Rattus norvegicus: one gene and its partner. The protein of the gene in region 1 interacts with the protein of each later gene in a pairwise test. Links are inferred from orthologs where the notes say so. Each region holds a gene or a part of one and is shown on either strand. Other genes may lie near its edges.

Region 1 (3,667 bases):
CTCCACTGAGCATAAACTGGATTTAGAGAGCTCTTGCTAAGCAGAGCAAATGTTCCAGGAGCTTCTCATGGTCTGGACTTTGGGCGAGCCTGCAGGAATTCAGATCCTGGTGGGAGCTGGGGCTAGCTCTGGGACGCCGGGCAAATGTCTAGTTTAGTTTAGTAGTTTTTAGTGTGAGGGCCTTTGAGTCGGTTCGGCGGGTAACTCACTCAATGGTGAGTTGGGCTTCCAAACAGATCTGACCACTTGAGTTTGATCCTGGGTCCCACAAGGTAGGAGGAGAGAACCGATTCTCCCAGACTTGTCCTCTTACCCCTACATGTGTGTTACACATGCACCTTGGCATGCAAGTACTGGCATTTAACACAACCACACTAAAAAAAAATAAATAAATAAATGTGGGAGGTGATCAAGGTCCCTAACACTCGGTATCAGCGACAACATTGCTTCCACTTAGAGACCAGCTAGGGGGTGAAATGCTGTGGGGGGGTGGGGGGGAACCAAACCAAACCATCCAAACAAACAAACTTTACATGGCTTTAATCTCAGTACTTGGGAAGCAGAGGGAGGTGGAGCTCTGAATTCTTGATTTACATAGGGAATTTCAGGCCAAGGCCTGGGGGTGTGGAGCAGTTGCCTAGCAGGCTCAAAGTTTCTTGCGCTGCGGAGCAAAACAAAAGTAACAAAGTAACAAAACAACAACAAAAAAACAAAAAACAAAACAAAAACAAAAACAAAAAAACCCTCCCTACAGCTAGTGTTGCAGCTCAGAGGCAGAAGTGCCGAGAGCCAAGTTCTGTCTCCAACATCAAAAAATCAAATCTCTCTCACCCCCCGCCCCCTCCCCCTCTCCCTGGTTTTCCTCCGTGTAGCCCTGGAACTCTCTTGGTAGACAAGGATGGACTAGAACTCAGAGATCCACTTACCTCTGCCTTCTGATTGCTGGGATCAAAGGCCTGGGCCACCATGACTGGCAGAATAAAATCTCTGGAATTGGTTGAAGCGATGTTTTAAGGACACTGCACCTCCTCTCAGAGAGCTCACTGGTCAGCAGCTAGGACCAGTGAGGTCCAGCCCGATGTCCCAGCTGCTTCCCTGTGCCTAGCACCCATGCTTTCCTGTCTAGAGAACGGGAACCGGTATGAAGGCAGCTGGGAGAGAGGCATGAAGAACGGGCACGGGCGTTTCTTTCACCTGGACCACGGCCAGCTGTTTGAAGGCTTCTGGGTGGACAACGTGGCCAAGTGTGGCACCATGATCGACTTTGGCCGGGATGAGGCCCCAGAACCCACCCAGTTCCCCATTCCTAAGGTGGGTAGTCCTCCTGGAGTCCTGAAACCAGAGAGACAGAAACCAGCCTCCTGGCTCCACATGTCAAGGAGCTGGAGGTGAGGTTCTGTTTTCTTTTTTCTTTTTTTTTTTTTTTTTTTCCGGAGCTGGGGACCGAACCCAGGGCCTTGAGCTTCCTAGGCAAGCGCTCTACCGCTGAGTTAAATCCCCAACCCCGAGGTTCTGTTTTCAAGCATCTCTAGCAAGGCAGCTTGGGGGCTTCCCATGCTCCTTACCCCAACCAAAGGGTCCCCTCGCCCCTGCTTCCCCCCAGGTGGAGATTCTAGACCCAGACGGTGTGCTGAAGGAAGCATTAGATAAACTGAAGAAGCCTGAGGAAGAAGAGGACTGATGTCAGGTGAGAAGACGCGGCTGTCTGTCACCTCTGAGAAAGCTGAGACCTCTCTGAACAAACAGTGCCGATCATCTGGTACCACTAATGGGCGCAGAGCAAGATCAAAGAGGGCAAGTTTCTTGCCTCCCCGAATCCAGCTTTTCCTTCTTGGTTACTCCTCTTTGAAATACGTGTGCCTAGATAACCCAGTGCATTCCAGCCCTGCCTAGTTTGCCTCCATTTTGTTCTTAGCCTCCCGGGGCGAGCTGCAGTCAGGTGATTGGTTAGTCCCTTCTAAAGGATGTTGAAGGAGGCTGTGGTCCCTTGGCCTGTCTTGATAGTTGTTTGTGGGACCTTGTCCTTGAGGGTGGCTGTGAGGCTTTATGGCGAGGGTGTTGGTGGTTGTTTCTAATCCTTAACTCCGACATCATCCCCACCTGTGCAGAGATCGAACAGAGACTCAGGAGAAACTCTAGCCCTTGTCACCAAACTGCTCAGACCGGTGCACCTCCTGCAGAAGGAGCACACAGTGACTCTGGGCACGCCCTTGGCTCCCTCAGAGGGCACCCACTCCTCCAGACGCTAGGTTATTCTTGGCCACTGGAGGTGGGGTCTTTACACTAGCTTATTCTTGGCCAGTGGAGGTAAGGTATTGCTTCTCCCTGGCTGGTCTTGGGGACCCACTTGCTCAAAGCCTTTGCCCCTGTGGCTTTATATCAGTGTGCATGAAAATAAAGAAGGTGGTGGCCTTAATCCAAGGGACTATAGCTTGAGCAGGGGTGGGCAGGGTCTGAGGGATGGGAAAGACAGCCTCACCAACTGTGTAGATTTTTTTCCCCTTGTGTCTGTGACAGGGGGACTTGAGGGTGCAAGGCAGAGGAGCAAGGAAGTGGTTTCAGTTCTACTGCCCGAGCTAACCCAGAGAGGAGAGTGAGCCTGCACTCTGCCATCAAGCCCACCGAGACTTGAGATTTAAACATGTCCTCACCTCCTTAGCCTAACCCAAGAATCCCCAGAGAGCTTTAAAAACTATGAGCACCCAGGGCCATCATGGTGGCCTGTGCCTTAAATACAGGTACTTGGGAAGCAGAGGTAGGTGGTAGATCTCTGAGTTTGAGGCCAGCCTGGTCTATACAATGAGTGTGTGTGTGTGTGTGTGTGTATACACATATATATATATTTTAAGAATTTTTTATTTATTTCATGTATATAAGTACATTGTAGCTGTCTTCAGACACACTAGAAGAGGGTCTTGGATCCCATTACAGATGGTTGTGAGCCACCATGTGGTTGCTGGGAATTGAACTCAGGACCTCTGGAAGAGCAGAGCAGTCAGTGCTCATAACCGCTGAGCCATCTCTCCAGCCCCCCAGATCTATATATTCTCTTAAATTATTTTTGTGTGTTTGGATGTTTTGTCTGCACATATGTCCATGTACTAGGTACATGTCTGGTGCCCAAGAAGGTGTTATAGATACTTGTGAGCTGCCACTTGGGTGCAGGGAATCAAAACAGGGTCCTCTGGCACACCAGCAAATGCTTTTTTTTTTTTTTTTTTTTTTCCAGAGCTGGGGACCGAACCCAGGGCCTTGCGCTTCCTAGGCAAGCGCTCTACCACTGAGCTAAATCCCCAACCCCCAGCAAATGCTCTTAACTGCTGAGCCATGTATCCAGCCCAGAGCTCTATACTCTTAGGGAGTGGAGGTGTATGTATGGACTGTTACTTGGCATGGTGGTGTCTCTCATCCTAGCACTTGGGAGGCAAAGGCGGGCAATCTCTTCAGCCTGGTCTATGTGGATACCGTGCTTCACAAAGGGATGGGGGAACGAGGATACTCTTGTCTATTTATTTATTTATTTATTTATTTATTTATTTATTTATTTATTGGTTCTTTTTTTCGGAGCTGGGGACCGAACCCAGGGCCTTGCACTTCCTAGGTAAGCGCTCTACCACTGAGCTAAGTCCCCAGCCTCTTGTCTATTTATAAAAGCACAAAAACGGCA
Region 2 (4,386 bases), on another chromosome or scaffold:
ATTAACTGTCACAGTGGCATGGACAGTTCCCTAGGAGTGTGAACAGCAGATTCTAAAGGTAGCACCTGGGGTGGTGGTGGTGGTAGTGGTGGTGGTGGTGGTGGTGGTGGTGGTGGTGGTGGTGGTGGTGATTACAGTGGCTGTGTTGCTGTGTCTGTGGAAATCGGCCCTGTGTGTGTGTGGTGTGTGTGTGTGTGTGTGTGTGTGTGTGTGTGTGTGTGTTAATCAGAATACTGCATGCACATCACGGCACATTAGCATTTTTTTTTCCGGAGCTGGGGACCGAACCCAGGACCTTGCGCTTCCTAGGCAAGCGCTCTACCACTGAGCTAAATCCCCAACCCCTCACATTAGCATTTTTAATTGTCCCAAGTTATGTTTTACATTTTATCACGTGGGGAGGCAGCTTTTTAGCCAATCTTTGGGGGAAAAAACCAACCAAACAAAGATGTCTTGGTGTGCTTTCAAGTGTGGGGAAGCAGGTATTCCAGGGAGCTGGCTGGGCTGGACCAGGCAGAAGCCAGAAGTAGGGACTGGAGGTTTGGGTGGTTTGGTTTGTTTGCAATGTAGCTAGTGCAGGGAGGGGGAGCTTGGGGACATAGAGAGAGGCTGTGTGTGTTTGGGTTTCTGTACAGAGAAAACTGTGAGACTGTTAGGAGGCCAGGTACTGGGACAGAAAGACTGGCTCAGTGGGGGAGCAGGAAGGTCTGAGCTTGGAATGACAGTATAGGGGTTGAAGGGGACCCAGAGGGTCCTTGCAGGGTGGAATGTGGCACTGGAGGGACCCCAAGAGGAGATCTATCTGTAAGAGACAGTCAGTGAATGAGCAGGCTGGACCTTTGAGAGGAAGTCTGCAGGCACCAGAGGACAGAGTAGAACGAATATAGCTCTCCTGCAAGTGAAGGCCCAGAGGTAACCTGAGTTAGTTGAGATGCTAAACCCTGACCCGGGGCAGTGTGTGCGAGCATCTGCTTAAGTGGTCAGAGTTCATCGTCCAGTGTATACGTGTTGACAGGAAACAGAAAAGACTTGAGTTCCTGTCATCTAGAGACCACGAACACCTCAAGACCTGGGAGGGTCCTTGCAGCATCCACGGAGGACCCAAGGGACTGAAAGGCAAGGCCCAGAGTTGAGATGCACCTCTCGTCCCAATGGGGGTCCGCTTTTTAGGTGATTCCTTGTAGAGCCCACAAACCAGATCAGTAAGGACATTCCAGAGGCCGGTGACACAGCTCAGGTTAGACGGTCAGATCTGCCAAGGCCCCGCCCCCCCTCGTCCCGGGCGGCGATTGGCAGAGATACCCTTCCAGTTGCTAGGACACTATTCCAGCCCTTGGCTCCTCCCACGCTTCTCTTGCGGCCCTTTCCCGCCACCCTTCCAGGCAGAGAGCCAAGTGGGGCGGGCAGCGTCTCCATGACGACGCGGGACGCGGGTGGGGGTGGCTGGTACCTGCTTGATAGAGACGCTGCTCCGGAGATCCTGTCTGAGACCAGATCATGTCGGACCTGGGCTCTGAGGAGTTAGAGGAGGAGGGAGAGAACGATCTTGGGGTGAGAGCTCCTGACCAGGGAGGGACTCCTGGGGTGCGCCGCAGCTCCGGAGCGGGAGGCGTGGGGATCAGAGGGCCGAGAGGCCGGGGACAGGACCACGCTGGCCACAGTGGCGGCGCTGCGTCCAGGAAGTCGCTCTGAAAGGTGAAACGCCGTGACGTCTTGTTTCCACCCCCCCTTCCCCGCTCCCATCCCGCCTCCCATTAAAGGCGAAGATTTCTAAGCAGAGGGCGTGAGTAAAGGTTGCTTCCTGACAACTCCCGCACGGGCTGAGGTGCCCCGGGCTCTCAAGATCTCACCACGTGGGTTTGGAATCAGTTTCTCTGAACCATCCCAAGCCATTGGAATCACTTCTCTTGTGTAGACAGCAGAGGGGAGGCAAAGGACCCACAGCCAGTGTTGTGCTCCTACGTGAGTGCATTGTGGGCCGGCTGTTTATCCTTAAACCAGAGGATGACCACGCCCTGGCTGACAGAGTGGGGGATAGGCCCGCTGTGTGTGAGCAAAGCGCTTTGAGCATCAACTGAAGAACCCAGTCCCTGCTCTGTACTGTTGGTACCCGCTCAGATCTCTTTGCAGGCCCTGGGCATCCTGTCTTAGCTTCTTCATCTATGTGCTGGAACAGCCTGGTCAGTGTGAAGGTGCCACAATGCCTGGGAGTCCTGTGCTCCCAGGAGCCAGTGCAAAGAAGGACATTCTCAAGTGCGACATCTAGACCTCAAGGTCTCCATGCCATTAGCTGGAGGCTGGTATTGCATCTGAGATTGCAACATGCATCCTGGCTTAGCTGCCTCCTTTCCAATCTGGCAGATCTCCTCACTGGTTTCTTCGGGTTCTACTTGTAAAAGTTCCCCCAGGGAAGATGGCTCAGTCAGTAAAGTGCTTGCTGAACAGCACGAGGGCCTGAGTTCAGGTACCACTGTGTAAAAAGCCGGGCACAGGAGGATCCCTGGCGCTTGCCGGCTGGCCAGCCTAGCTCCAACTTCAGTGAGACAGTTTCAAAGAATAAGGTGGAGAGACTTGAAGAAGACATTACATGTCAATCTCTGGCCCCTATAGATGAGCATGAACATTCACATGAGCAAACACCCACATGGACATATCCACCTTACTGAATGAACACACGCACGCACACGCACGCACACGCACACACACACACATCACACACACCACATACACCACACACACACTACACACCACACACACATCACACACACCACATACACCACACACACACTACACACCACACACACATCACACACACCACATACACCACACACACACTACACACCACACACACATCACACACACCACATACACCACACACACACTGCACACACCACATATACTACACACTACACACATCACACACCACACAGACCACACAAACTACATACCACACACACATCACACACACTACACACCACACATACTACACATACCACACACACCACACCACACCATACACACCACACACACATCACACTACACACCACACACAAACACCACACACACTACACACCACACATACTATACACCACACACACTACACACTACACACACACCCCACCTACCACACCACACACACTACACACATTACACATTACACACCACACACACATCACACACACCACATACACCACACACACACTACACACCACATATACTACACACTACACACATCACACACACCACACAGACCACACAAACTACATACCACACACACTACACACCACACACACTACACACCACATACTACACACACACTTACCATACATACTACACACCACACACCACACATACTACACATGCCACACACACACCATACACACTACACACCACATACACTACACACAACACACCACATAATACACACACACATACACACACAGATGGAGGTCACTAATTTACAGTCTGTTTCTGCAGATATTCAATTCACACAGTCCGGTCATCAGGGTTTCCGGTTTGTTCCCTGCCGGCTCCTACTGACCTGTAACGTGTCTAAGCTTATAGTTATGGCATCAAACCACCTTTAGGTCAACTTAAAGAATTTCTCTGTTGGTCATCCAGACAGCTCAGTCCGTGTTGGGCATACTGGGAGGTCCCTGAGATGAGTACAGGGGTCCACTTCTGTGACTCAGTGTTGGCCATAGCGGGAGACCTCCAGGATGGGCGCAGGGACTCTGTACGGTGTGGGTTTAGTAACTTTTCTGTTACTGTGACCAGGCACCATGGCTCGTGGAAGGAAGAGTTTATTTGGACTTACGGTTCCAGGGGGGTAGGAGTCTGTCATAGTGAGGAGGCAGGCAAAGGGGCAGACATGGCGGCAGGAACAGGAAGTTGAGGGCTGACATCTTCAGATGCAAGCAGAGAGCACAGACAGGAAGTGGTGTGAGACTACAAACACTCAAAAGTCCGTCCCTAGTGATGTACCTTCCTCCAGCAAGCCTCTACCTCCCAAAGGTTCCGTAGTCTCCCCACACAGTACCACAAAGCAGGGAATCGGTGTGTAGATATATGAGCTTATAAGGGACAACTGAAATGTAATAATATGTCATGTCATTGTGTATGTTGAAAGTTTGCAGCAAGATGTTATAAGCTAGCCATGCTGCATCATTACTGAATGCTCCGGCCATTTTAGTATATGTTATATGCACTACATCCATGTGTGTGAGTCAGAGAACATTCATCTTGAAAAGTATAGGGGGAAGGGGTGGGGAGAAGTGCAAGCTTGTATTACTTTTTTATTCCCTTGGTTTTAGAGTGGGGGGCAGGGATCTGCTCTGGGACTCAGATGTGCCCTTCAACCCCATGGCTCAAGTGACCCTGCAATCC

Evidence for each region. The genes of interacting proteins can lie anywhere in the genome.
Region 2: the proteins of Morn3 (region 1) and Rsph1 interact in binary tests that used the Homo sapiens proteins (3 or more experiments, as listed by UniProt). The two-hybrid records come from large-scale screens. The link is inferred for Rattus norvegicus from reciprocal best matches to the Homo sapiens genes MORN3 and RSPH1.

Annotation. Positions count from the first base shown.
Region 1 is NC_086030.1:39,186,954-39,190,620, forward strand, and holds part of Morn3 (MORN repeat-containing protein 3), read left to right. Parts: intron 1-1,126; coding exon 1,127-1,311; intron 1,312-1,603; coding exon 1,604-1,681; 3' UTR 1,682-1,687; exon of another isoform or gene 1,688-1,882; intron 1,883-2,108; exon of another isoform or gene 2,109-2,416; intron 2,417-2,517; exon of another isoform or gene 2,518-3,567; 3' UTR 3,568-3,667. UniProt on the Homo sapiens protein: Assembles a suppression complex (suppresome) by tethering SIRT1 and MDM2 to regulate composite modifications of p53/TP53.
Region 2 is NC_086038.1:9,359,046-9,363,431, reverse strand, and holds the start of Rsph1 (radial spoke head 1 homolog), read left to right. Parts: upstream 1-1,443; 5' UTR 1,444-1,497; coding exon 1,498-1,551; exon of another isoform or gene 1,552-1,699; intron 1,700-4,386.